Tamandua tetradactyla: one gene and its partners. Each later gene encodes a partner of the first gene's protein in a complex. Links are inferred from orthologs where the notes say so. Each region holds a gene or a part of one and is shown on either strand. Other genes may lie near its edges. The genes, in order: NLRP5, OOEP, KHDC3L and YWHAG.

Region 1 (7,986 bases):
CAGTTTAGAGGTAGCACTCACTGGACAATTGTTATGGACTGAACAACCACCTCGAGAAGATAATAGCTATTTCCTGCATCCTCCCATTTTTTTCTTTCTACCCCAGATCATGTCCTACTCCAATGAATTGTTATTAACATTATCGTAGCAGATGGCAGTTAGCACAGCCAGTTAGACCAGTGCACTCATAGTCCCGAGGCTATAAGTACAGATTCTACATAGATAATTCAATGAGAGGGAATATATTTCTATGGTTACAGGTACCACAGGCTCCCAGATCAGAGTAACAGCTCCAAGTTGAAGTTCAGATATGTCCCTTTGGACAAGTGACTGAACCTCTCTGAGTTTCCTTTTCTGGAAAATTGGAACTAGAGTACCTAAATTTCCGAGGGTTTCTGTGAGGTTAACAAGCAAAGCATTCAGCTAAAGGACTGGTGTAGGGCACGCATGCGAATTTTAACCATAATCTGGTCTACTAATCACATTCTGGAAGCAAGACTCCAAGTGAAGGAGTATTCTAGGTAAAAGGGTGCTCAGATTTAAGCTGCTGCTGGGGTCACATTGAGATTTTAGAATTAATTGTTTAAGTTTCTGTGTCTGTGGGTGAGGCTCTTTCAACGATTGGATTAAGCAGTTAAAGAAAGATTATTTAAAAGTGAATGAATTTAAGATTGCCATATAGAAACACTTTTACATACACACAAATTGAATAAATGTTGCCACCAAACAATTCACTGAAGAGGTTAGAGGAAAAATAGCAGAACGATGAAATAATAAGAGCGAAACCTCAGTGGTAGGTCAAGAAATCAGTATGTTCTGAGGAGAGTTCGTTTATTTTTAGGATTAGATGGTTGAGAAACTTCCTTACACAGAACTAAGAATAAATAAAAGTTGGAGGCTAAAGAGAAAGAACAAAGAACATTTCTAAGTAACCGTCTGAAGTGACTTACATCATCTCATCTAATCCTCACATAAACATTGAGATATAAAGAGTGTTATTGACCCCACTCGACAGAGTTGAAAGCCAACATTCTGGGAAGCTATATACTTGCTCTCTGTTTCATGAGAACACCTTTAAAGAATAGTTACCTGATTTTAGCATTCTTTCTTTCCCATTCCATCACAGAGCAGGAACTGACTGAAAAACTCTAAGGACACGTGGATCTAATTAGAACCCAGGTGGTGGCATTACCTTAAAATAGACACTTCCTCTTGTGAAATCTGGCAGGGTGGAGTGAAGGACATTATTCCAACCCAGGAATGATGTAGGTTGGAGTGATATAAATTAGAATTGGGTAGTCAAGTTTACCTTCTGAGGACAAATGACTTACCAAAGCTTTCACTTTGCCTCTTTCCTTCCTTCTTCTATACTTCCTATCTCTCCTGGTACATCTGTCTCCACAGGTGTCTTGAATGGTTCACTAGAAGCAGGCAAGATTAAAGTGCTTGAAATCAATTAGATCTAGGTTCGAATATTGATTCCACCACTTATTACCCCAGGAAAGACATTTAGTTTATCCACCACTGGGGTTCCTCACTTAATAAAAGGAAAGATACCCCCATGTTGCATAGCCCCTCAGTAATGGTGAATCAAGTTGACCAGTTACCATTAGCACGATTGATACAGTAACACCCTCAGTCCCGGGATTATCTGTTCTTGACCTGAGTTATAGCACCCCTACTTTGCCCTCCATTTCAGACTTAGAGTCTGGAAAGGGTGAAGGGCTTACCCAGATTCCCACAAACTCATGTATTTCAAAGGTGGACCTTTTGAGCACAATGGGGAAACGGGACTTCACTCATTCAAAGGGGTCTTTGAACCCCTGTCTCTGAGTAGCCTAACAGGAGGCACAGGGGCATGTTACAGGGCCCAATAAGTAGGCTGTAATCAGCAATGAAAAAAATAGGGGGGAACGAAAGGCATTGGGAACAAGAGAGGAGAAAGTACCCACCGACTGGATTCTTCACCTCCAAGCTCAAATCCCACTTCTGGGCCAACTGGCAATCTTGGGTGGGAAAAAAAAGGTTAGGCCCAGCCCCACACCCACGTGGTGAGGGTCAGTAGGGAATCCTGAGCCAGTGACGTCATCTCTGGTCATTGGATGCAACGGGCTCCAAATGGCCATGCTCAGAGTAGAAGTAGAACACCTGCTTTCTGCACCTGCAGGCTCTGAGTCTTCCTATCCGCCTCTCCCACCCCTCACCCCACTTGGTGGTGAGGACACTCCTTGTACACTTCATACACCTGTGCCCAGGACCTCTGGCTGCATACAGCCCTCCCCTGGTTGTCCTGGGAGCAATAATTCTGTGTGTGTGAGTGCGCGCGCACGTATGGTGGTGGTGGGGGTTCTTTATATTACAATAAATCGGCTTTTACTAACCATTCCCTCGAATTATTACTGCTGTTGTTTGTCCAAGCTATTATCTACATAAAACTCTCTTATCTTCAGTCCCCATGAACTCCTAACCCTGACTTTTACTTCTGGTCTGTTTGGCTCATTTATGCCTCCCGTTCTTCAGTATCAGCTTTCCTCACGGTCCTGACTCTGAACCAGTCCTCTTAGATTATACCACCCTTGATGTTGATGTTCCCCTCGAGCACATGCTGATGCTTCCCAAATGGCTTCTGGCAGGTGCCTTCTCAGCTCCAGACCCAGTCTTCCAATTATCACCTACGGCCTGCGGTGGGATGCTCCACGTGCATGTAAAACTCAACATATCCAATTCAAAATGTTAAGTTCCAGTGCCCAATACAGGTCTGGTACACAGCATGCATTCTTGTTTGTTATCCAATGAGTGTCTCCGCCTACATTCTCTCCTTCTCAATTCCCCACCTCAGGTATCAGAAACACTATCCACGTGTGCTGAAGTCTGCACGTTAATGCTTAACTCAGAGGGGAGTTCGTTGTAGTCCTAATTTTAATCAGTCACTAAGTCCTGTCAATCATTTCATTAAATATATTTGTTACAACCTGAAATTGGAATTACCTGGGTAATTCATGATTGCTGCTTTAAATTGGAGAGATAGAAAAAAGTATAAATGAGAAATCAATATCACTCCTTCTCAGTATATATACAAAAACATACACGTATATAGTCCCCTAACCTTATGACATATATGCATGTGTATGTGTGTTCATAAATAGATACATTATCAATCAATATCATAATCTTACAGAATTGGAATAGTGGAGTACACAATATTAGTTATTCTTTTTCTTTTGGCATGGGCAGGCACTGGGAATCAAACCCAGGTCTCCAGCATGACAGGCGGGAACTCTGCCTGATAAGCCACCATGGCCTGCCCTAGTTTTCATTTTATAAATAACTTTCTTACTGACAATAGTCTAAAATGACTAAATGATGTGTATAATATCTTACCGTTGGTTTTACTAATTAGCATAATTATCTTCTCATAGTTGTACCTTTAGATTGTTTTAATTTTGCCACTGTTATAATGTTGAATGGAGATCCTTGTATGTAAATATTTATCCCCTTTTAGTCTGACTTCATCAAGACAAATTCTTAGAGTGGAATTAATAGATCAATTGGTGTGAAACAACAAAAATTTATTTTCCACCATAAAAGAAATATTTATATAATCTCTTTTGAAAAATTATATATTTTTTCTCTAAGCTAAGAAATTATATACAATTATATATAACAGCTTAGCTTAGAGAAAACCATTCTCAAAATTTTGTTATATTTCTTTGATGCATTTATGCCATATCTAACTTTCACTTTATTAGATTCAGTCATATGGAATGTACACAAATGAATGTGCTGGCTAAAAAAATCTACTTATTTTGTATTATAAATATAACCAAAGCTCATTGTGGATAAGTTGGAGATTGCATCATCCTGAGATTGCCATATGAACATTTTAAGTTAACTTTTATCACTATATAATTGCATCAGAAACGTGTGGGCATCACAAGTTATGTAAAGCTTGATGAATTATAAATTACCACAAGATGAAGAAGTAGAGTATGACTGTTATCTCAAAAGCCCTGCTCATGCCCCCTCATGGAAACTACTTCTGCACTTCTCAAAAGATAGCCTCTAGGGTGGCCCAGGTGGCTCAGTGCAGCATTCTCGCCCGCCATGCTGGAGACCTGGGTTTGATTCCTGGTGCCTGCCCACGTAAAAGAAAAAAAAAAGATAACCTCTATCCTGATTTCCAATCACACAGAATAATTTTACCTGTTTTTGAAGTCAGATAAATGGAACTGTAGGGTGCATTCTTTTGTACCTGCCTGTTGAGCCTGTGAAGTTAATCCACACCGATGTGCATTGCAGCGTTTCATTCATTTTCATTGCCGGATAGTATTCAATTGTGTGAACGACCACCATCATTTTGTATATCATATGGCTGATGGACATTTGGATTGTTTCCACTTCTTGTATAATATGGATAATGCTCCTAATAGCATTCTCATACATGTCATTTGGTAAACATATTTATGCATACCTGTTGAATATATAGTAGGAGCTTAATTGCTAGGTCCGAGGGCACAGATGTTTTCAATCCGTTTCATCCTCACAGTTTTTCGAAGTAGCTGCTCCAATTTATACTTCCAAGGGCAAAATATGGGGGCTCCAATTATTCCACACTCTTGCCAACATTTGCTGTGGACAGTCTTTCCAATTTCACTCATTTTGGTGGCTGTGTAGTGGTTTTGACTTGCTTTACCTGATGGTTGGTGGGGCTGAGTAGTTTTTATTGGACATGTGGATATTCTCTCAAGGAAACTGTTTATTCAAGTCTTGCATTCATTTTTCTATTGGGTTGTCTGCCTTTCTGTTATTAATTTGTAGGAGTTATACATATTTATTTTGAATACAACTCAAGGATATATACTGAAAATATATATATTTTTCTCAATCTGTAACTTACCTTTTCTGGTGAATGCGTTTTTTTTTTTGGAAAGGAAATATTTTCTTTCCTTAGGTCACAAACATCTTCTGCTATGTTAACTTTTAGAAGGTATAATGTCTTTCCTTTTGTATTTACATTTACAATATTCTTGGAATTGCTTTTGTATGTGGTGTGAGATAGAGATTCAGACTTGTTTTTTCTGCGTGTTTGTCCATTTGATTTAGCATCATTTGTTGAAAATTCCATCCTTTCCCCAGTCCTCTGCAATGTCAACTTGCCATAAATCAAGTGGTCATGTTTATGGAGATCTGTTTATGAACATGGCCTCATTGATGATAGTGGACCAGGATGAGGTTCTATAGAACGTCCAAAGAGCTCAAGATTCTTTTGGATGATAATGTAAACATAAGCAAAAGAGTTAATATAGACTTTCAAGCAAGATAGTGTATATACACTTCTGTCCTTCCCAAGTCAATGTGAACTACTTCTGATCCTCTTCCTGACATTTCTGGTAAGACTGGAAGGAGTGCTTTCGCCATACCAAATCCCATGGCTCTTTTGACCTATTTAAGACGGCACAGCTGGCACAGCAACTGCAATTGGGGCTTCCACTTAGTTAAGCTTAACAGGAGCCCACTGAGCCCAGGACTCACCTGGTCAATTAAGTAGGGATGTAACAGGGACCACCTCCCCTGGATCCTTGACGTCTTGAGGGCGGCACTGATTTCTGGCATTCCACCTGAGATGCTGTCTTTGCCTGGGGGGGTTAGTTTCCAGGGCTTCTGCTGGGCCTTTCTCTACCATTATGGCCTTTACTCCAGAGGTCAGGGAGCCGATGGAATGACCATCTCCGTTACACACTCAGGGGCCGTGAAGGTGACCCTCTTCAGACCCCCTGGACCTACTGTGCCAAGGCCTGATTTATCCCCTGGTGTCCACATGCCTCCATCCAACCTGGGGCTTTGATGGTACCCTCTGTCTCATGATGACGGTGTTGACTCAAATGCTATATCCAGTAGTCCTTGAATGCCCTGACTATTCTATTCCCAGTGGGTTAGCCTAGTGGATGGCCATGTGGAAATCACTGTTGTTCACACTTGATGTGGTCTGCAGGGTCTGCCTCAAGGGGCCCTTCTATCAGTGGCTTTGGGTCTGGGGACTATATGGAAATCTGTTGAGAGACAATGGTTTTCACAGAGCTGCAGCTCTGGCACGAGGCTTCTGCTCACCCAGTCCTATATCTTCTTTGGTAGTTGCCCACCTACTTCACCCTAGCAACACTACAATCTCTTTGCCACCACCAAGAAGGGTGTCTGATTCTGTAAGTATGTCTGGCTACCATTCTGGCCACTTTGCCCAAAATGATAATTCCATCTACCTGGCCTCTACTAAATCATGCTCTTACCATTCCCTTGCTGCCAGGAAGCCTGTTTCAAAGGTTCCCAAACCTCACCGCAGAATGGAATCAGCTGAGCAAGCCAAGAAACCCCTATGCCTAAGCCACACCCCATTCCACTTAGGTTGCCTCTCTGAGGCTGGGAACCAGGCAAAGGTATTTTAAAGAGCCAGGTGTAATACAATACGCCACAAAGGGTAGGAAGCACTATCCTACTTCTAGCTCTTCTCGTGATGCCAGGAACTCCGTCACTGGTAAATTCCCTTAGTGCCCTCACAAAGCAAGTGACTCAGGGCCCTTTTGGGGAGTACAGTCAGTGGTTGGGTTCTCTGGATTTACACAACAGCAAGCCCACCTCTGAACCTGCTGATTTCAGATAAGGAAGTTCTGACACCTCTACCTTGCTCACTGTGGACCATCTCAGCAGAGCACTAAGGTCAGCTCCAGGTGAACTTGCCCAGATGTAAGTTGTGTATCACAGAGTCTGACCTTGATGAACCTTTATTTTCATCCACATCTTAAGAATAGGGTGGGGGAAGGGATGGTGAGGATCTCAACTGCTCTACCTTCTAAAACAAAGCCCCTTCAGAGAGTTGAGAAACCAGTATGGATAATATCTGACCATTACCCTGTGTGTAAAAGGACTGTTGTTTAAAAAGAAAAGAAAATGGGATTGCTTTCTGGTCCTTTGAGTTCTAAATGCTGTCCTAACTACTTTAGAATGCTCTCCCCACCAATCTACAGGTAAATGAATAACACTTGAAAAGTTTGTAAGTTGCATTTACATACATTTTCAGCTGAATTCTTCCAAGCCCCCCCTGGAATAGAGACAGTTCTTAGAGATGTTTCCATCATATATTCAAAGACATCTAGTGGTCAGGGGCAGGGGGAGCCTGGTGGATTGGAACTCTCCCTACCTGGGTCCCCTGAATCCAATGACCAACGGCCGTCTAACACGTGTCCCTCAATTCCAAGGGGGCTCTTTGGGGGTCATGACCAAACCATTTTCCAGAACTAACTCCAAGCCTCAGAAGGGTCCACAGAATAGGCAACCTTTCCAAATTTTTCTTTAGGAAAACAGTGTCCAGGGGGTCAGAAGATCAGTCCATTTATAGTATCTTATAGTAGCGCCCATAGTCCCAATTTTGTATTATCCTCAGGGAGTGTTTTCTCACTTCTGGACCCTCCAACCTTGTCAGCATATCCACTTCATGTCTCTCTTTCATCTCCCTGGAAAGGATAAAACCAATTTTTTTCTCTTACATTTATTTTATTTTATTTTTCTGTAGTCTTAGAAGAGTATCCAAAACCTGTGGATGGAAATTTCCCACATAGGAGACCAGCCTGGTCCCCTGGAGAAGACTGAAACCAATGATTCAGTTCTCAGGAGCTCAGGTATGGAGTCAAATGCTTTGTTCAGCCACTCACTAGTTGTAGGAGGTGGCCTCTGAGATGGCCCCAAGGCCCTAGCCTCCTGCTATTCATATCTTTGTGTGTTCCTTCTCTCAACTGAGTCAGGGTTTTATGTGTGACCAACAGAACAAGGCAGAAATTATGGGATGTCACCATCAAGATTAAGTAATGAAAGACTGGGGCTCTGTTTTGGGCTCTCTCTCCCCCTCTTCTTCTACCTTCCTTTCCCTTTCTTTTGGATCACTTGTTCTGGAGTAATCCAGCGTAATATCATGAGCAGTTCTGTGGAGATTAACTG
Region 2 (6,798 bases), on another chromosome or scaffold:
ACCAAACATATGAAAATGCAGACAGATACAGCTCAGCTTAATGACCAAATTAAGACACTGGAGGAGACACAGACTTTGGAACAACTAATCAAAGATGTTCATACAACTCTTTTTATTTATTTTATAAATAAAATCAATGGGATGACTAATGACATAAAGGAGATCAAGAAGACACTAGAGGGAGAAGCAGTGGTGGGAGACATCTCTGCCCTCTCCAGAGGCACAGGGCCACACTTGACTCTCGCAGCCCCTGTCACCTGCTCCCTGCCCCTGGAAAGTAAACTGACTGTGGGGTTGAGTGGTCTGAGCTGAGGGCACGAAGAGCTCAGGGCAGTGGTGACGAAGGCATTGATATCAGTGCTAACGAGGGCCTCTGTAGGTGGAGAAGATGCAAGGTAGGCGGATCAACTGGGAGATGTGACACCACACAATATTAAACAGTTGAAGAGATCAAACTAAGTCATGTTTCCAGTCATCTACAATGACAAGTTCTACGAGGATGTGCTGGAGGTTGGAGAGCTAGCAAAACTTGCCTATTTCACTGATATTGCAGTAGCTGCAGTGTGCTGGAGGGTGGATCATTCACAGAATCAGAAGAGACTTTACATGATGACACCAGGATGTCTCGCACCTTACTGGGGCTAGGAATAGACACTAAAATGTTATATCATGTCTTAAACATCTGTGAAAAAGATGGCACTTTTGACAACATGTATCTATAAGTCCAGATCAGTAATGAGTCGGCAATTGACTGCTGCAGGAAGTTTGGCTTTGAGATTACTGAGACAAAGAAGAACTATTATAAGACGATAGAACCCGCAGACACTCATGTGCGGCAGAAAAACCTCAAAGTTCCTCTAGCCAGAATGCAGATGTGCAAAAAACAGATAACTGAGCAAATTACAAATGAACTTTCTTGCACTTCCTTTTGCCAAATAAAAGAGTCTCATTGGTTTTTCCCCCTTCTTTCTTTTAAAGCTTCTCCCCTCCTTACTTTTTGTCTCTCTCCTCCCTTTTTCTCTTAAAGTTTTAATATTTTCAAGGTCATGTGTGGATTGTTTTAGTTTTCTGACTTTTGTGAGGTGGTTTCATTGAAGGAAGGAGAAGGTATAGGTGTAAAGAAGGATTTTATAAAGCTTAACAGTAGCTAACTTTTCTTATGTAAAGAAGGATTTTATAAGCTTAACAGTAGCTAATTTTTCCTGCTTAATTTAGCTATTTACATATATTTTAGCTTCTGAATGATAGAAATATCCAGCAAAAGCATTTGTGTCATTCTATATTCACTGCTATGCATTTGGTGTGAGATAAGAATTGTAAAGAAAAGAATTATGGGCCCCATCAGGCTAAGAAAAACAACCCGGAACTTCCCAGGGGCGGTTATCTGCTTCTTGCAACAATGTTTGTTATCTGCTTCTTGCAAAAGTGTTTGTTATCTGCTTCTTGCATGAAGCAGCACTCGTGACCCATGCTCGACCCTCACCCCCCTCCTCCTACCCCTTAAAAACTTCCCCAAACCCAGGCTCGGGGCTCTCTGTTCCTGCGTGTTCAGTGAGCCCCACACATGTGTGGTAAATAAACCCCTTGCATGTTGCATGAGAGAACGTCTCTTGGAGTCCTCCTTTGCGTGGCAAAACTCTCGAATTCTTACATAGGTATGTTTAGTTTCACAGTTAAGATATATGGTCCCAAAGATTGGGGTGTCACATAATTTCAAAATTTTTAGCTTTCACATTGAAGGGCAAAGCCTACAAAATATTGTATATTCAAAAGACAAAAAAGAAGCAGCACCAAAATTTTGTTCTCTAATTCATAGACAAGTTAGTGTGTTTGTGATACTTTGGGTTTTTAAAGATTATTTGTGGGATCCTAATCCCTAAACATTGCTTTCATCCCCCTTTAGTCTTTCTGAGCACTGTCTCATGAGCTGGACCATTATTGTCTTTGTAAGAAATACGTAAGCTTTTGTGGTTGTTTCTTTAAGCAGTTTTTCCTCTCTTCCTTGCTGGTGGTTGAGGTGGATGGGGCAGTTCGGTTAGGAAGTGTTTACACTTCGGTCACAGTATTTGAGTTAAACTGCTTTTTGCTAATGCGTGGGCTGGCTGTTATCAGGTTTATTTTTCCTGTTGTTGATTGTTACTAGTGGCATTAACTTTTAGAATGTGGGCTGGTGTGATTAATTTATTTTAATATCCCAGTTAGAGATATGGCCTTTAACTGACCTAAGAGGTTTGTTGTGATTTACCTTTTTTTCCTTCTGTCCTTTTTCTTCAGTGAACCCCATCAGTAGTTGTAGTCAGCATTGTTAAAAAATGGAGCTTATGTCCTTGTGGGTTAGTGCCCTTAATTAAAACTGAAGCAGGTGTTTTCTCTTAAATATATTAAAAAGGACTTAAAAGGAAGTTTAGATAGACTTGTGACACACACAAAAAAAGTCATTTAATGTTAGCTAATGTTGGCTGCTAAATCTGTGGCCACTGAGTGTTTGATTATTACAAAGAATATCAAGGCAGTATTTTTGAGAACATAGCTGTGCTATTACTTATCTGTTGCAGAGCATCCCAGATTTGATTACACTCGGCCAACAATGTTGAGTTTAAAGATTTGGGGAAGAGTGGAAATGTTAAACATACTGCTTCTATGCTTGGAAAAGTAGAAGTCTGGAAGTGTTAATAATGCACATGTCACAATGACCTCCTCTACTGAAAGAATTGACTTATACCAGAATATTTTCTGGCACGTAGACAAGTGGCTTTGATGGGTTGATAAATTTTTGTAAGATGGGAAACTAAAATTTTTTTTATCTTTTCCTCCCATAATCCCATCTTTAATACTTAAAATTTTTTAGACCGCCAATGCTGATGTTCCATTACAATGTCCCATTAGATTTTTTTTTTTTTTTGCAAGAGCAGGCACCAGGAATCGAACCTGGGTCTCTGGCATAGCAGGCGAGAACTCTGCCTGCTGAGCCACCATGGCCTGTCCCCCATTAGATTTTATAACGTGCACAGGCCTTGAATTTTTTCTCACTTTACTTCAAAAGAAAGGTTGATTCATAACGTATATTCTCTTTTGTAAAATTCTGGTATGAAAGTCTCATCTCTCCAAACATACTATTTACAAAATGTTTGTGCACATTTATAATCCTAAATTCTTATTTGAGAATGTGAAAGTATAATAAACAGTCTTATCGAGTGCCAAGAATACAGAAAAGGAAGGTAGTTGATGAGTGAATATATAGAGTTCTAATCTTAAAACAGAAAAAATCTACAAAGACCATGCTGTTTTTCAAGCATCAATTTCTTAAGCAGCCCAAATCTAAGCTCAGAAGAAAGGTTTCATATTAAACACCTTTAACTTTCATGGATAAGCTTCAGCTTCCTCTTGCCAAGAGAAGAGTGCTTGAGTAACAGAAGGCATTAGTTTGAGGAACTTCACTCTTTTTATAAAATTCCAGATATCAAAATAGATTTTGATATGTAAATGAATTTTCTGGGATGACACTATAACCATTTTGCCTGGACTATCTAACCAGTCCTATGAATGTATCCCTAAATGTGGCTATTGAAAACAAAATAGCTGCCTCATGTCTAATCAAATGCATGGTATTTAAGGAAGGAAAAAATTAAATTTTGAATTGAGTGTGTAGGCTCCCTGTCATTATAGTTTTTTTCCACACTAGTCTATAACTTAACCTAAATCATAAATATGTGTAAAGGGTTAATTGTCCTGAATCAAACTTTTATTAAATAATTCCATCCGCTTAAGGAGGAGGTAGAAGCTGGACACTAATTCATGTACCTGTGAATCAGTAAACACTGAATGAGTGCCCCATGTTGAGCTGGTAATTTTGACACATAATAAAAATTATATTCTTGGAGGTAATACAATAAATGATTCTATTAACTGGAAGATGGCATAATGTGACCATACTTCAGTACAGTTTCTACTGTGGGGTGAATAGGTAAAAATTGTATCGTATGGTAATTGATTTAGGTGCTAAAGCAGAGAATCTGCAGATAAACTTATGCAATTTATAATTTGTTCAGAGTTGTTTTCATTTGGGTAAGGAAGTTCTGAAATATCCTCCAAAGCAGTTTACTTAGTAATTGAAAGTCCTCCAAAAATAGAACTATTGGGAAATCATTGTGCATTTACAACAATGATTTCCACTAGAGAGGGAAAGGGAAGATTCCTTCATGATAATAATTTTAAAGAGAGGCAAATGTGGGAGAATTTTGACATACGTTAAATTTGGGCGTGGCGGTGGTAAATGGGTGTTCTATTACTTTGTGCATATGTAAAACCTTTCACAATTTAAAATTTAATTAAAATTGAGAATACTGGAGAGAAGTGTCATCTGTAGAAGTTGTGTCTTAGGATGGTGGGAGTAAACGGTATTTGTCCACACCAGCTACGTTTTCTATAATGACTACCTCTGACATTTTATTTAAAACATGACACAGTTTTGCTTGAATGATTTCGAGATAGTAACCCTCTGGAAAGAGTCAGAAGATAATGGGGGCTGAGAGGAGAGATTTTACAGATTCAAGGAACCTGCTTCCATCCACCTGATCTACCTACCTACGTCTGGAGGGCAAGGTGGAGACCTTAACCTTGGCGATAAAGGTGATTCCAGGTCAACAAGGTCGCCAGTTCCACCTCGTATTGTTAATGAGTTACATGCTGGGGCAGGGACCTTTGAGGCTATGTGATACCTTACTAGGTGGGGCCGACAATGAAGAGCAAGGGAGACATGTTTGGAGTTCAAATAAATTCTTGTTGAAGGCCGAAGTGAAGCCTGAGTGATTGACACAGAGCAGGAGGCGCCTCAGGGCGCCCAGGTGGGAGCACCAACCTCCACGTGGCAGCTAAATCCGGAGGTCAGGGATGGGGGGCGGGGGGCGTGAGCTCTGCCGGAAGGGGCGGGGCTGGTCAGGAACCTTAATGCAGGATGAGGGGGCGTGGGCTTCGCTGGGGTCTGGACTCTCCTGAGGGCCGCACCGTCCTGAGCATGGTGGACGACGCTGACGCTGCCGGGGTCCGCGCTGCGGAGGCCCGTCCTGCTGAGGCCCAGGATGACAAGCAGGTGCCTGCGGCGTCCCACAGCAGCCTGCCCAGGTTATTACTCCCGGTGCCACGGATTCGCGTCCGACCGTGGTGGTTTCCCGTGGAGGACCTGAAGGACCCGCTGGTGTTCCACCTGGAGGCATGGCTGGTGGACCCGATCTTCGGTGGGTGACCGGGGGTTTGCTCCTAGGCTAGCCCCCACAGCTGGAGAGCGGACTGCAGAGCAACCCTGCGGCCGCCTTCTCGGACTCGCCTGCGCGCGTCTGGCGCCAGCCCAAGGACACCAGCCCCCAGCTGTTCCCTCGGCCCAGCAACATTCCCTTCTTATCTAGCGCCGCCAAACCCGCGACTGCCCCGCGGCTCACAGTCTCTCCTTCCCTGTTTAGGCGCAGACAGAGCAACCATTGCGAAGATTGAGTGGATGAGCCAGGCTCTGCTGATGGTGGACACAGTAGACTCGGAGGGCCTCGCCGAAATCACCGTCTTCGGCCGGCCGCGGGTACGGAACCGGGTGAAGAGCATTCTCCTGGGTCTGGCAGCGTTACACCGGGAACGTCGTTTCAGAGGTGAGGGTCTGGGCGAACCTGCATGTGGAGAGAGCCACGTATCTCCTTTCTGGACTTGCCTGGCTTCTTCCGGCCTCTCTTCTGAAAGTAACTCTTCAGAGTTTCCAAGCCCCAAGAAGCTGTACCCAGCTGCTGGGGATCGCTTTGGGAGGGAGCCCGGGGTAGGGTCTCGGAAAGGTAAGCAGAGGTCTGGCGTAATTGGGAGCCCGTCGCTGCCCAAGCCAACTACAGGTGGACTCCATCACCATTCCCAGATCCCGGTTCATGTCTCCACCCCGAGAAACGGTGTTGCCAGCACCTTCCCTTACTGCCACCTATTAACAAGTACAGTACAGTCTAAAACAGCAAGCACTTTTCCAAACTGGTGGTCGGCATCAATTGTTTTTCCTCCAGCTGAGAAGATGAAACGACTTGAGGACTTCTTAAAGTCTCATGCATCAGGCGCCCAGACTACCCAGCATCCTGTTGCTTAAGACAGAATGAGTATCCTCAGGAGTATTGTGAGCCAGCCTTCTGCTACTAAAGTTGAAGGAAAACAAGTATCGTTCAACTTTCATTCCAGTCTCCTGTGTCTCAGTGAATAATAGTTTGATTATTTTGGTGCAAATGTGAGTTTGTGTTCTTCCAATAAAGAAATGAATTTCCTTGCTTTTTTTGTCCAATGGCCAAAGATCTTTGATCACTTAAAGTTACTCCAATTTATAAAAGACTGACTCGGTTCATTTCTAGGTTTAGGTAGAAAGCTAAGCAGTGTCTTTTTTTTTCTTGTTTTTTCCTTCCATTTTGGAACTTTTATGGCTTTATGGTTATGGTCAGGCCCTCAAACCCAGGGGACAAAGATGCAGGGGCAGATGACCTCACAAATGGCCAGTCTGTTTTGGTGAACAAGACTGGTCTTGTTTTTTGTTTTTTTTTTTTGACCAAGCTGCCAGGTTTACTTGCACGCCTATACCCCCTCCCTTTCCTGTCCTGACTATCTTAAAAATAATCTTGCAGCTTTGGGATTGCAGAGAAAAACAGCTCTGTGTTTGCAAGGGGTGGGTGGGCAACAACTTCAGATCCTAACTTAGCTATTCTAAGTATCAGTCACCCCCTGACCTCCCTCACCTCTCTCCTTCTCACACCTGTTACCCAAGCACCTGAGAGGCTGTCTAGTTAGTTC
Region 3 (6,208 bases), on another chromosome or scaffold:
TAGAAACACAGCCACTAAAACCTGTTTCCTCCCCCTTTCCTTTTTCTGTGAGCCCAATGAGCGAACGCCACTTGACCAGGTTTAGAATCTCTTTCCTTTTCCTCTGGGAAGCCACCTGTGGGGGACGGACGCCAGGCGCCGTGGCTTGGGGAACTCATGGTTTTGGGGAGGCTTGCAGCCGGTCCAGCTGGTCCAGACTGGGGTACGCTGTGTGTTTGGTCACTGATGTGGCTCCGGGAGCTGTTCTGTACTGTTTCTGGTTATTTAGTAGTTGTTCTGGAGGACAAACTAAAACGCGCACATTGCTAAGCCACTATCTTGACTCCTCTCCATTACATCTTGAATAACAAGGTGATACCTACTTAATGCGTAAGGATAACCTCCAGGATAACCTCTCAACTCTGTTTGGAATCTCTCAGCCATTGCCACTTTGTCTCATTTCACTCTTCCCCCTTTTGGTCGAGAAGGTTTTCTCAATCCCTTGATGCTAAGTCTCAGCTCATTCTAGGGTCTTAGGCCTAATTTTATGTAGGCTTGACCTATCCTTTGTGGGGTTAAGTTTCATATGAACAAACCCCAAGACTGGGAGCTCAGCTATAGCTTTGGTTGTCCACACGGCTTGTGAGAATATCAAGAATTCAACTTGGGGAAGTTGAATTTTCCCCCTTTCTCACCATTCCCTGAAGGGGACTTTGCAAATACATTTTTATTCACTGTTCAGATCACTCTGGGATTTATTGGGGCATCACTCTGATCCAATTAGCTTTTTAGTTCCCAAGTCTTAATGATTACCAGACAACCAAGACAGCATAAAGGAAACAAATGGAAAAGAAAAGAAAAAAGAGCATATAGGGGATCAGTCCAGAAGGCCAATGTTTTTTTTTCTCAATGAAACATTAAAAATTTTATTGAAAAGTAAAAAACAGTGCTGTTGCAGTAACTTAGTTAGCTCAAAGCAAAGAAATGATAGCTAATATTAACTTTCCAACTTTCTCACAGGCATAACTTTTTTAAATTTGGTATAGGTAATTTTTAATCTTTTTTTGAAAAAGTTATACGTGCTTTTATGAGGATTTAATAGTCCTTCAAGACCCGTTAAAAGAAGATTCTCTTCTACCCCAAACTCCCATTCAGTACTCTAAGTAACATACTTTGATTACCAGCCCTTGATTTTTCAACTTCCAACAGGTAAAGAGGAGAACTATCTCCTCCACCATCCTTACCCATCTTTTCCAAATCACTGATCCTTCCAGTAGTTTTGTTGTCATTTTGATTAAAACAATATTGGGTATTTACATGAATATTATTCATAATTGAACAACGCAGTATACTATAAATACTTTCCTATGCTGATAAACCTTTTCGCTTTCTCTGGAGTTAATAAGTTTCACCTTTGCTTAGCTCACTATTACCATTAATTCAACTCCAATCTCCCCCCTTGCCCCCTATATAACTCTCCTCTCAAAACACTGAAACATATTGACTATCAGAAGGTCAATGTTTGAATAACAGGAAGTCTAGAAAAAGAGAAGAGGAAACAGAAGGAGAAAAAACTATTAACAAAATAATTCAAGAATATTTCCCAAAGATTAAGACCATAATGACCACTGAAGTTAGAAGAAAATGAAGCAAAGCACTAAATTATGAGGGAATTTTCTTTTTCTAACCCAGAATTTTATAGCCAGCTAAATGTCCAAATAACTATGTGGATAGAAAAAATTTTTTTCCTAGATGTAAGGACTCAAAATTATGCATTCTTCCACAGAAAAAAAACTAGAGAATTTGAGCCCAGGATCCAAGTCAAAGATAGGATTTGGGAATTCACAGGAGGGCCCCAGAATGCTGGCCCTGGAGAGCAGCTAATTTGGATTGGAGCAGTTAAGAAAATTGCAGAAGTAATGCTGACAAGAGGTACTTGAAAGTACTGAGGGGAAATTTATACAGTTGGAGAGAGTTTGGAAATAAAGGAGGAGTACATAGAAAAAATCAGCATCTGAACCAAAAGGCAATCAATAACAGCAAGAAAAGCAAAATTTTGTGCAAGAGAAAAAAAAAATCAATAACTTATATGCTGCCAAGAATAATATTCACAAAGTGTTAACGCTGAATATTTATCTAAGAAAATCATGATGTGATGAGATTGGGAGGATACCCGATCTGAAGTATGCAAGTAAACTGGGGAAGGGAATGAAAGATTAGTATAAATATGTGTGTGTGTGTATTTTGATGCCCTGGGAGTGGTTTCTGTGCACCCGAAAATGTATCTAGAGGCTTCTTTGAAAATAAATATTTGATTTCTAAAAATTATAAAAACCAAACCTTTAGCCCTTCCTTAAGGCTTTCAAGTTTCACTTTCAAATATTCTCTTTAAAAAATCTAGAAAGTTTCAAAATTACTTTTCATGTCCTCTGAATGATACCAGATTCTACTGACTAATTTAACTAAACATCTTCATACATGTCAAAGAGCTTTGCAAAGTACTTTGCTCATATCTATTAACAAATAAGGCCTTCCCAACTACTAAATAATACCTACATATCAAATTAATATTATTAATGTGGTGGACCTTAAGTTCTCTTCAGCGGTCCAATGCTAATTGTAAATTAAGATTTCATCTTATAGCCACAAATCTATATCAACTACTTAACTGCATATTTTAAATTGGAGTTGCAACACTGCCTCTTTAATAGCCTTCTTATCTAAAATATTACAAGAACATAAAACATCATATGTATGATTTCTTTTCTTTTAACTGCTTTGAAGTATAACTGAAGTACAATTAACAGCACATATTAAGAAGTGTGCAATTTAATCATTTTTGACACATATAAATACAACCATGAAACCATCACAGCAGTTGAGATACCACACATTCCCATCTTCCATAAGAGTTTCCTAGTGCAGAGGTTTTCAATCCATGTCTCCTTCCATCCCTGACCCCAGGCAACCACTCACCTGTAGGCTTGCATATTCTAGGATTTTATTTAAATGGCAGATTCCTTTTTAACACAATTAGTATTACTACGTTTTTATTCTTATATATTATATATTCAATACTGAAACTTTAAGGGCATGAAAGATCTTTATTCATACAAAAAGTTGAACATGTTTAGAACTGCCAATATCCTCTATGCTGTGAAACAATGGTATCAGTCCTATAGCCTTATAGTAAAAGAAACGCATCTGATCAGAGATTTTCACTGGGATGCTTCCTGGAGTGTTGGTGACACCGATGGGACCTCAAATTTCGATTTATAATTGCTATGGCAGTGCTGGTGTTACCTCACCACCTCCAGAGGAGGTGGTTACTGAGCCCAGATCCTTGAGTTTATATTGTACACTCATCTAGTTGTTCCACCTACCCACAGAAGTCTACCACTCCATCCTGTGATCGTTTGAATGAATTTATGTATAAATACTTATCTACTTAGGTCTCTGCTTAAGTCTGACCCTAAAACATCCACAGCTTTTCCTGCACTCCCACCAACAGTACAGGAAGGAGGCCTCTGAATTCTGATGACCTCTCACCACTGGGTCTGATAAGTACTTCCCAACTACTGACTCCGGAGCTATAGTTTCACCTTCCTGAGTGAGTGGTTAACTGATAATGCCTTAAGCTGGAGAGGAAACTCAAGAAATGGAAATATTTAGCGTTATTTAGAGAACTGAGGTGTCAAAAAAGGCTTCAAGTCGACCTTCCTGGTGTCCAAATTACTTGGACCGTCTGCTACTGGGTGTTTGTGTGGCCGTATTTAAGGCTTACCTGTGCTCAACTGGTCTCTAAATGTTACTGGAGAAGCTGGACAGTGGTGGTCCCTGGGGCCGGTACTCGGTGGCAACGGTTCAGGAGAAAAGGGAGACTTGCCTTTAACCTTTGGACATTGTTTTTACTGCTTAAATTTTTGCTTTTTCCAGCTTCTTGAATTAGGTTTTCCAATAAAATTATGTCAACCTCTCAGGAATGAGCTGATCCCACGGGAACTGTCTGAGTAGCACCGGATCTCCACAAATACCACTTTGCTTCACTCTGAAATATTTTCTCCATTTTCGCTCTTCTCTACCTTTCTGAGTCCACGGTTATGTCCACCGTGTGCGCCTGAGAATCGAGGTGGGGACCTGTGCTGGCTCCTAAAACTCGCAGCTCCAGCTGGCAACTTCCAGCTGGCTGCTAAAACTCGCAGCTCGGCTTTCCTTTCCCGCGGCTCTGGGAAGAGGGCGAGTTTCCAGACCGAATGGCCCCACGGAGAGCGCACGCGGAACCTGGCGAGCTTCACCACGTGACCGCTCCGGGGCTCCCAGCCCGCGCGGCCCGAGACCTGAGGCACGCCAGCCGCAGCCGCCGCGGGCCGCTCCAGCTCCCTCGCACGGCCGCGGAAAGATACGGGCTGCTGGAATTAGGGTCCAATGGGAAGGGCGCGGGGTGGGGAGGGGCTTGCCAAAAGCCCTTGATTTAAGGCCCAGGCCCAGGCTCAGCTTCCGCGGCCCATCCCCGAGTGCTGCCCTTCGGTTCTCCCTCCCGCGCTCGCTGCCCGCGAGGCCGGCCGCAGCATGGCTGCTCCCAAGCAATTTCCGACGCTCGTGCAGCTGGAGCAGGGAGAAGGACAGCGTTTCGAGCAGCTCGGTAATTTCGGCAACCCGCCCTACTGGTTCCACCCTGAGTTCCTGAAGAATCCACGAGCAGTTCACGTCGAGGCCTGGCTTGTAGAAGAGATCTTCGGTGAGTAGGCTTGGGTGTGGCCGCCATAATGCCCTCCTCCCCATTCATTCCCCCCCACACACACACACAATCCGGCCCGGCCCTGGGAAAGCCCGTCCAGTGCTCTTGGCCCCCAAGCCTGTGCCCCCATGGTCTCCCTCGCCCCCCTTCCCCTCAAGTCCCCAGGAGCCACCCTGCTCCTCACGGCTTCTCTGCTCCCTGCGCAGGCCGGGGCGGAGAGCACATCCCGCACGTCGAGTGTGCGAGCCAGACCCTGCTTCACGTGAACCGGTGGGACCCCGGCGGCGAGGCCGAGATTTTGATATTTGGACGGCCTTATTACCAGCACGACGTAGCCAGATTGGTCATGAATTTAGCAGATTATCACCGCCAACTCCGGGCTCAAAGTACGTGGCTGGGGAGCAGAGAGGGGTGCCCCGGACATTTTCTGGGTTCCTTGGGAGGGATCTTGATAGTCCCCCGCGGCCCAGACAGCGGTTTCCCCCTCCCACTGGATCCGGGAGAGGATTTCCTCTTGGCAAGGAATCGGGAATACCAAATTGGGCCCCAGTTCTGAGATTCCGTGGTAGACTCCAGATTAGGAACAGCTCACGGCTCCCGTCTTCGTTGCACGTATGGATGACTGGACTTTTGGGGAGGGGGAATGGGGGCGTAGGGGCACCCTCCTCATGCTGCTTGTCTTCCAGGCCCAGAGAAGGCCCCTGCCGAGGAGGCCGGGAAGCAGCAGTCTGGAGAAGCGGCCGCCCAGGAGATCGGGAAGCAGCAGCCTCAGAAGGCACCTGCCCAAGACTCAGTTACCAGATTGTGATGGCAGCTCGGCCCCGGGAAGGGAGACAAGCAAAAATTAAACTGAAAGCCTGTTCTTGAGACCTGTTATTCTAGGTCCTGCTTCGGCCCTAGAAATTAGGGAAATGGTGTAGGTGTGACCTCCCCAGTGTTGAACGTTTGCGAACCCGAATCTAAAGAGTTCTAATAAAGAATCAAATTTCCCTAAGCGTCTTTTAATTAGAAGGTAGAAGAAGAGGGGGAGGTACCCTCCCCCAGCACTCAAGTTCTGCTCTGTGCCACTATCAGAGGCAGGTGCGACCTTTTAGTTCCTGGCCACCTCTGCCGTCATGCACCTCTCCTGCTTGTGATTTTTAACAGTATGCAGCTGGCGCTGCTTGGATACAAGGCCTCTAGGGTGTACTGAGTCAGTCCTTGCTGTGAAACCCAAGTCCCAGTTGCCCCCAGCAGCTCGTGGTTCTACTCGAGGAAATTTGAAATGGTAAAAACCTGATTGCAATCTCTGCCCTGAGGCTGGGGCCCTGCTGGACTGGGAAGACCCACCCGGGCGTACCATGGTATGGCAAGTAACTTCCTAGCCCTGGCACCTGACCTGGTGGGTGAAATTGTGGGCGAAAGAGCCAGGGCTGCCCCATTGACTTCGTTAATTAAGTCTTGCCGGGGTTACCATAACTTGCCTTAGGCTTGAGGTGAGCGAGACAGTAC
Region 4 (7,013 bases), on another chromosome or scaffold:
AGAGTCAAGCCTAGTTCCTCTGCTCTGAAACCTCTGTCTCTTGAGAATGCATGGTCTGACTCTTTGTCTGAGACAGCGGCCCACTTTTTATGGTGACCCACATTCCCTTGGTGGGGTGAATTTTGAAGTTATCTCTTTTTTGTAGAATGGAAAACTTAGAATGTAAAGATGTATTAAACTGTTCATCTTTCCTTTCCCCAGCCCAATCAGTTTTAAGAGCTCTTAAACTCACATTTTTAGAGTGAGGCTCTGGAGTTAGAGAAGCCAATTTGGTGACAAGCAGTCAGCCCCAGGTGACTTGGAGCAGAGAATTTCCCTGTCAACAGGACCTTCAGGCAGCCACTGAAGAGGATGGGAAGACTCCAAGGCAGGACAGTTGGAAAGCTTTTGCAAGAGGCTGGAAGATATTAAGAAGTAGTCCTCCTGCTCTTTTTACAAATAGACTCATAACCTGACACCTGGAGAGGTAAAGTGACTTGCCCAGGACCATCCAGCAAGATCAATAGTAAAGTCGGGGCCCCTCCACTGCCCTGGAATAATCAGGAGGAGATACAGCCCACTGGCATTTCCCTGTCATCCTCTGCTTCTGAATTTGTCCTGTGCTCTGCCCCTGTTGCAGCCCAGCCTGTTAGGGCTATGATGGGGAGGTGTTCCCAGAGGGCAGGATGGAGCATTGCAGGTCTGCTTTGGAAAATGCTACTCCTGCTGCTGCTTCCGCACCAATCAGGGAGCTTTCCAGCCGCAGGAGGAAGCCAGGAGCCAGGGGATAGGGCTGCAGTGATTTATGAGTGCACAGAAACAGCAGGACACTAATGTACCTGGCTGGACTGCTTGTCTGCCAACTCAGCCAGAGAGGATGCACTTAAAGGTCATATTCTCCCTCATTGGAGATGGGGACAGAAGGTTAGCCATACAAGGTGCCTACCCAGTGTCCCTGCATTAGGACTGTCACCCGAGGGCAATGCCTCTCCTTTCCTGAGCAGATGCCATGGGGTAGATCCTCATGGCCCCGGCAGGAAGGGCAGCCTTGCTACTGGGAATCAGGAAGATCTGCCCTGGCTTGCATTCAGGCCCTGCCAAAGGTCACACAGCCCCTCTGAGTCTCAGTTTCTCTCTCTAAAAAACAGGGACAATTCTGAGTTTCTCTACCTTTGGAATTTGCCCCTCTCTCACATCTGCAGGCACAGACTCCTGTTACCACAGATAAAGAATTCTAGTAGCCTTCCATTTTATAAGAGGCACATGCTGAATCTAGAACCATGACTCATCCTGGATGGGTGGGGCCCTTAATGCTTTTTCAGTTTAATTTCTCACTTTAAAGGTGGGGAAATTGAGACATGGAGAAAGGACAGGCCTTGCACATGTTGCTGGGGACCAGGCAGAAGCCAGAATAGTAGTTCTCCACCTGTCTGCTCAGGTTTCTTTCAGCAGTACCAGGCAGTGGAGACGGAAGCCCAGATATTAAGCTATTCCCTGCGGGTAATGTCGCCCTGCCTCGGAGGCAGTCCTCTCAACAGCCAGAGGCTGCTGGGCTGCTGTAGCTTTAAACCCAGAGCCTCAAAAAAATCCAACAGGAAAGGAGGGGCAGGGCCAGTTCCCCCTGCACTGTTGGAGGGAAGCCTCGATGTAGAGACTGCAGATGTCATTCCTGTTTGGCTCTCGAACATCCTTTTCTTTGCATCTGCTTTACTTTTTCCAACTAGATTTGGCCTGAGCTTTTTTTTTTTTTTTTTTAAGCATATTGGTCTGGTGGGGGAAGGAACTGAGGGGAGAGGTCAGAGAGGCAGGGAGAAATGTGCCAGGAAGTTCCCAAGATTTAGCATCTGGGCCTGGACCAGTGACACATTTAATCCATCTGTGGACAACCAGGGTTGGGTGTAAGGGCTCATTTCCATGGGTTCGTGATGCCCAGACTACAGTGGTTCATGCCAGGCTGCAGGGGGGGGCAAAAGAAAGAGAGGAATGACTTGGTGAACCACTCATGCAAGAGACAGAAGGAAGTGGGAGGGTTTATTCACCAACAGGATTGCATTTTGCTGGGTTGGTGTGGTAAGGGAAGAGGGGCCAAGGCAGATGCTGTGTTGGAGGAGAGTCAGCTATTTTCTGAGTCTCTCTCTCCACTCAGTCCATCTCTTTACCCTCCTGACAGAGCAGTCTTCCTGAAGTGAATTCATTCATTCATTCATTTCCTTATTTCCTATGTCCCATGTGCTTACTAAGTGCCAAGTACTGTGCCAGGCACCGAGGAGTCAATGGTGATGAAGCCATCAAAATGCAGCTCTGATGGTTTTCTGCATCCATCTCAGGCATCCTATTTATTTCAGAATAAAGACTTAACTCCTTAGCCTGGCATTCAGGGCCCCTCAGGTTCTGACTCCTGGCTCCATCCCCAGCTTCACTGCCCATCACCTGAGTCACCAGACACATCAGATTCTTTGCCTGCCAATAAATATGCCAGGAAGGAACCTGCCTCTGAGTCTTGCTGCCTCTGCCCTCTGCCTGCTTTCAAATCCTACACATCCTTTAAGAGCTGGTCGGAAATGCTGCTTTTTAGAACCTCTTCCTACTCTTCCTATCCAGCCTGGAAGAATTTTTTATGAATACTTACAGTACTTAAGACATGCTGAATTTCTTGAAGGCAGGGTTCCATGCTCTCCTCTTCCAGCATCTAGCAGTGTCTGGAATATTCCTTCACAGAATCTCTTTCATTCTAGGTTCACATAACCCCGCACTTCATCTCCCTACTTTATGTTTCGCTTCGTATCACTTTCCAACATAGTCTACATATTGATTATTTATCTTGCCTGTTTTCTGTTTCCCCTTTAGAATGCTAAGTTCCATGTGGGCCAGGAGCTTAAACTGTTTTGTTCACTGCTGTACCCCATTGCTTAGGACAGTACTTGGTACATAGTGTGTGGTCAATAGATAGTTGTTGAATAAATGAAATAAAGAAAATTTGCAGTCAAAACTATGGAGTGTGTGGGAGCTACCCGGAATCTCAAAAAGGGAACCCTATGAGCTAGGATTTGTCGGTCTGACCTCAGCGTGTATGTCCAGACACAACCTAGTCCTAAGCATAGCCTAGGTAGGCTCTTGGTAACTGGCAGTGGAATCTGCAGCACTCCATCCTGGAGAGGAAGAAGGAGCCTCCAGGGGTCAACCTGCACACAGCTGCATCCTTTTTGTAACTTGACTGGTATGCCGGGCCAGTATTTGTCTTTCATGTTTTCACCATATTTTTACCGAGTCAGGCCCCAAAACCTCAGGGTGGGGATGGGGAGCTGGCTCCTTGGAGGAGGGGGTGACAGTCCCCCACGGTTTGGCCTCTTAATTCACCCATCCCGCGGGCAGATCCCACCCTGACGGTTTGGCTCTACGATGGAGGTACCCTCTCAACCTCCATGGCCTGCTGCTTCACCTCGGAAACAGGGCCCAGAGTTGAGGCCCTTGCCCCTTCCCTCGTAATTTCCCGGGGAATAGGGGGCGGGGCCGTGAATCAGCACTCACTCGGGCAGACGCAGCTCTCATTCCCGCCAGGGGTCCCCAGCGGCCGCCAGATTTAAGTCCCCTCCCCATCCTCCTCCGCCCGCGCGCTCCACCCGCTGGGAGATGTAGTCTCCATTGCCCCTTTGTCCTTGGTGGGTCCAAAAGATCACCCCGCCCGAGGGTGAACTACAACTCCCAGGGGCCCACGCGCTGGCGGCCCGGCGGGGCGGTGGTCTGGAGGGGAACGGGTGGGGGTGGGGGTGTCTGGTGGTGTTGGGGCGAAGGAACGGGGGTCAAGTGGAGGAAAAGAGGTGCTGGTGAGCTTCGAGGAAGGAGGGGACTGCCAGAAGAGGTGGGGGGTTGGGGCGGTGAGCTGAGTGGAGGGGGGACGCGGGAGCAGCGGAAGGAGCCGGGAGGGGCCTGGGCGGGGGCGCGCGGCGGGCGGAGCCCGTGCGTCACGCGGCGTGGGCGGGGCCGCAGGGGGTTGTCCGCCCGCGGCACGCACAGCCGCCGCAGCCGCCTCGCGCCGGGTCCCGCGGTCGCAGCTGGAGTCGCAGCCTCCGCGCCACCGCCGCCAAAGCTGGTCGCTTTGTGGGTCGGTCCTTCCGGCACACGGGCTCCCGCCGCGCCGCAGCCGCCCTCCGAGCCGTTCAGGCCGCCTTGGTCTCCTCGTCCGGCCCGACCCAGCCCGCGAAGATGGTGGACCGCGAGCAACTGGTGCAGAAAGCCCGGCTGGCTGAGCAGGCGGAGCGCTACGACGACATGGCCGCGGCCATGAAGAACGTGAGTTTCTTCTCCCCTCCCCCCGCCTCGCCCCAACCCTTTCGGAAACGTGTACCTTGGCCCTAAGGGCTCCGGGACCTGTCGCCTGTCGCGACTGCAGGCTCGGTCCCCCCTTCTCGCTCGCTGAGGGGGTATGTGGAGGGTCCAGATGGCGGTCGGGAGCTGGCTCGTGTCCTCTGCGCGTTCCCGAGGGTCGGAGGCGCTGCCTGCTCGGCCCTACCCGGGCTCAGGCTGGGGCGGGGTCTTGCGGGGCTGGTCACGGGAGCCGGGTCTCCGGGCCCCCGCGTACTCCGGGTCCGCTGGGGACCTGAGCGGGGCCGTGCGCATCCTTTGTGCCCCACTTCCCCTCCTCCCAGCCTAGGGCGTGGGGGCGGGGGACCGCATGGAAGCGGTTCCTCTTTCTCTCCCCGGTGTCTGGGCGGCGCCTTTCCCATTCACTCGGCAGGTCTCTTTTTCTAGCCGCCCCCCCCCGCCCCCCCGCTCCCTCCATCTTCCTCTTGCTTTCCTGCAGATCCTTTAGAACCTTTCCCAGAGAAATTCAGGCTCTCTTGAAATCTTGGGGTCAGTGGTGCAAAATCGTCGCCTTCTTGCTCATGTTTGACTTAACAAAAGGCTTCTCTTTCTCCATTTCCCAAAGCAAGTCCTCTAGGCTTTTAGGAAAGGGGACCGTCTGTTTCGTTAGCGTGTTCTTGTTAATTGTTCGAACATGCCGTTTCCATTTTTTCCTAATGCTTTGCATTGAAAAGAGCAGATAATGGCTTTAAAATAAAGGTTGTCAATTTGTGACATGCTGTTTTTTTTTAAAATACAGCCACGCGTCTGTTGAAATTCCTATAAGTTGAAAAAAATTCTTTCTGATCTGATACTGCAAACAAAGCGGTGGTGGGAGGCAGTATCAAGTCATTCCAGAAGATTCTGCATTTGTCATATTGCAGAGAGCCTAGACTGGGTGGAGGCTGGGAGGAGTTGTTTTAAAGGGGAAAATGTCTTTTTTTAATTTGCTTTGTTACATAGACTTGAGCCTTTTTTTTAATTTTAATTTTATTTTTTTTAAATAAAGCCAGTGCATCCTTAGGCTAATGAAAAGAGAATACTGTCCTCCAGTTGTCGCATTTTGTCTGGGATACAGATGCCTGCCTGTATTGCACCATTTTGTCAGTAACATTACATTTACCTAGTGAATGGTCAACCAGTTTAAGATTAAAGGAAGGAGGAAGCTTTGAACATTATTTGGAAAAAATTAATGATTTTGCGTCTCCCACTATCTTAATATTTAACTTCCCGTCTTATGTAACAAAGGTATTAAAATGCATCTCCAGTTTGAAATGAATGTAAGAGCGTACCTTGCATGCTAAATCTTTGTGATGAAACAATATAGATATAGAGGTTGATTCTTGAGTAACTACGTTAGTTCCCAGAAGATGACAGTGCTGATGCCTTTATATTTAAACAAGCTACATTAACAAAAAAAATTTTTTTTCTTATTAAGGAGGGGAATTCGATTCTGTGAATTGAGGGTTCTGGTGTATTAATATGCTATATTGCCACAGCTGCTATCCTGTAATATTTTAAAGCTCAAATGACACAAATTGCACTTTTAATAGATATCAGAATTGAAAATGTCTGTTCATGTTATTTAGATTATTTTAATTTTTCCATATCTCTAGTTTCACAGGAAAGCCAGTGACCTCGCACCTATATCCATAGCAACCCAGTGATGTCACACACAATGACACAGAGGCTGCAATGCACCTAAGGGCTGGTAGGGAGTTTGCAAATGGCATTTGTCCAAGGTAATGCAGAAATTAGTTGATAGTGGGATTGACTTCATCTTTCTCCAGATAAGAGCTCTGCAATAGAATGGCCCTGTGGGTCCAAAAATAATGAGGTATCCTTACATATGCACATTAGTGACCTCTAGATAATGCTTTATTGAAGTTCCTATCTAGTTTTCCCAGGAAAGTTTGTAAGATACATTCATATTTTTACACACTCATTTCACCTATTTAAGTAATTGGCCGATTATGGAATAAAAACAAATTTTAAAACGAGTATATTTTATAATTGTGTGGAGGGGGCTGCATACTTAGGATTATTACAGATACTTGGTAGATTTTGATAAAAACTCAGAATTATGGCTGTCCTCCTGGGTCATTAGATGATGAGACCACATTACAAACGAGTTATCAAATTCATTTTAGATGGATCTTTGGGAAAATTGTCTTGCTGTATTTTTACTTCTCTGACAGAGTATGGAGAAACTTAAAACCTTTTCAGTTATGGTGACTTTGACCCTCACTTTCCTAATCTGTAAAATGGGGCAATACCTGTTAGAAAAAGTTTGTGAGGATTTAGGTGCTCAAAAATGGCAATTACTTGCAAAACTTTGTTTCTTACTGTATAAAAGTGATCTCATCATGGAAAATTTGGAAAATACCATAAGGTACCAAGTAAATACTTAGTGGTACCACTCAAGTGATATATAGGTAGCCAAAAGGCTATCTTAATTATATATTTTATAAAATCTTTCTAGTGGGGTCAATAGGCTTTAAAATTCTTTTTATCTTTTTTCTATTTTTTTCTTCTAGCCCTCCCAGGAGACTAGATCAATGGCTATTATCATTAATGGAGTATTGACACCTCTAGAGTCCTCAGAGGTGGAATTTTGCCAACCATTATTCTAAGTCATGTGGCTTGAATTGTTCTCTCTTGGAGGAGTGGAAAGAATAGAGTAACAGTTTGCT

What was found.
Region 2: the proteins of NLRP5 (region 1) and OOEP are in contact, whole or in part, in a cryo-EM structure (PDB 8H93), measured with the Mus musculus proteins. The link is inferred for Tamandua tetradactyla from reciprocal best matches to the Homo sapiens genes NLRP5 and OOEP. Residues at the interface, in NP_035990.1 of Mus musculus: Glu173, Leu176, Leu195, His196, Gly202, Leu206, Asn322, Leu325, Glu326, Tyr337, Ile338, Leu339, Val340, Glu341, Gly342, Leu343, Ser344, Ala345, Ser346, His373, Asn625, Gln626, Asp652, Ser655, Glu661, Leu662, Cys663, Pro664; in NP_080756.1 of Mus musculus: Ser26, Leu27, Arg28, Leu29, Arg30, Thr31, Arg32, Ile38, Val41, Asn43, Tyr48, Met49, Leu75, Leu86, Glu88, Pro95, Thr99, Lys102.
Region 3: NLRP5 (region 1) and KHDC3L share a complex: the UniProt entries of both Homo sapiens proteins name them as parts of the subcortical maternal complex. The link is inferred for Tamandua tetradactyla from reciprocal best matches to the Homo sapiens genes NLRP5 and KHDC3L.
Region 4: the proteins of NLRP5 (region 1) and YWHAG are in contact, whole or in part, in a cryo-EM structure (PDB 8XI3), measured with the Mus musculus proteins. The link is inferred for Tamandua tetradactyla from reciprocal best matches to the Homo sapiens genes NLRP5 and YWHAG. Residues at the interface, in NP_035990.1 of Mus musculus: Ser1030, Cys1031, Ser1055, Gln1058, Cys1059, Pro1060, Val1061, Glu1084, Phe1087, Val1088, Lys1089; in NP_061359.2 of Mus musculus: Phe201, Tyr216, Thr220, Met223, Gln224, Arg227, Asp228, Thr231, Ser235.

Annotation. Positions count from the first base shown.
Region 1 is NC_135342.1:3,519,144-3,527,129, forward strand, and holds the start of NLRP5 (NACHT, LRR and PYD domains-containing protein 5), read right to left. Parts: upstream 3,002-7,986; coding exon 2,989-3,001; intron 2,007-2,988; coding exon 1,953-2,006; intron 1-1,952. UniProt on the Homo sapiens protein: Component of the subcortical maternal complex (SCMC), a multiprotein complex that plays a key role in early embryonic development.
Region 2 is NC_135331.1:129,285,184-129,291,981, reverse strand, and holds OOEP (oocyte-expressed protein homolog), read left to right. Parts: upstream 1-4,941; 5' UTR 4,942-4,954; coding exon 4,955-5,234; intron 5,235-5,456; coding exon 5,457-5,636; intron 5,637-6,029; coding exon 6,030-6,109; 3' UTR 6,110-6,285; downstream 6,286-6,798. UniProt on the Homo sapiens protein: Component of the subcortical maternal complex (SCMC), a multiprotein complex that plays a key role in early embryonic development.
Region 3 is NC_135331.1:129,253,444-129,259,651, forward strand, and holds KHDC3L (KH domain-containing protein 3), read left to right. Parts: upstream 1-4,344; 5' UTR 4,345-4,548; coding exon 4,549-4,717; intron 4,718-4,923; coding exon 4,924-5,103; intron 5,104-5,403; coding exon 5,404-5,525; 3' UTR 5,526-5,686; downstream 5,687-6,208. UniProt on the Homo sapiens protein: Component of the subcortical maternal complex (SCMC), a multiprotein complex that plays a key role in early embryonic development.
Region 4 is NC_135349.1:10,369,591-10,376,603, forward strand, and holds the start of YWHAG (14-3-3 protein gamma), read left to right. Parts: upstream 1-3,994; 5' UTR 3,995-4,182; coding exon 4,183-4,269; intron 4,270-7,013. UniProt on the Homo sapiens protein: Adapter protein implicated in the regulation of a large spectrum of both general and specialized signaling pathways. Binds to a large number of partners, usually by recognition of a phosphoserine or phosphothreonine motif.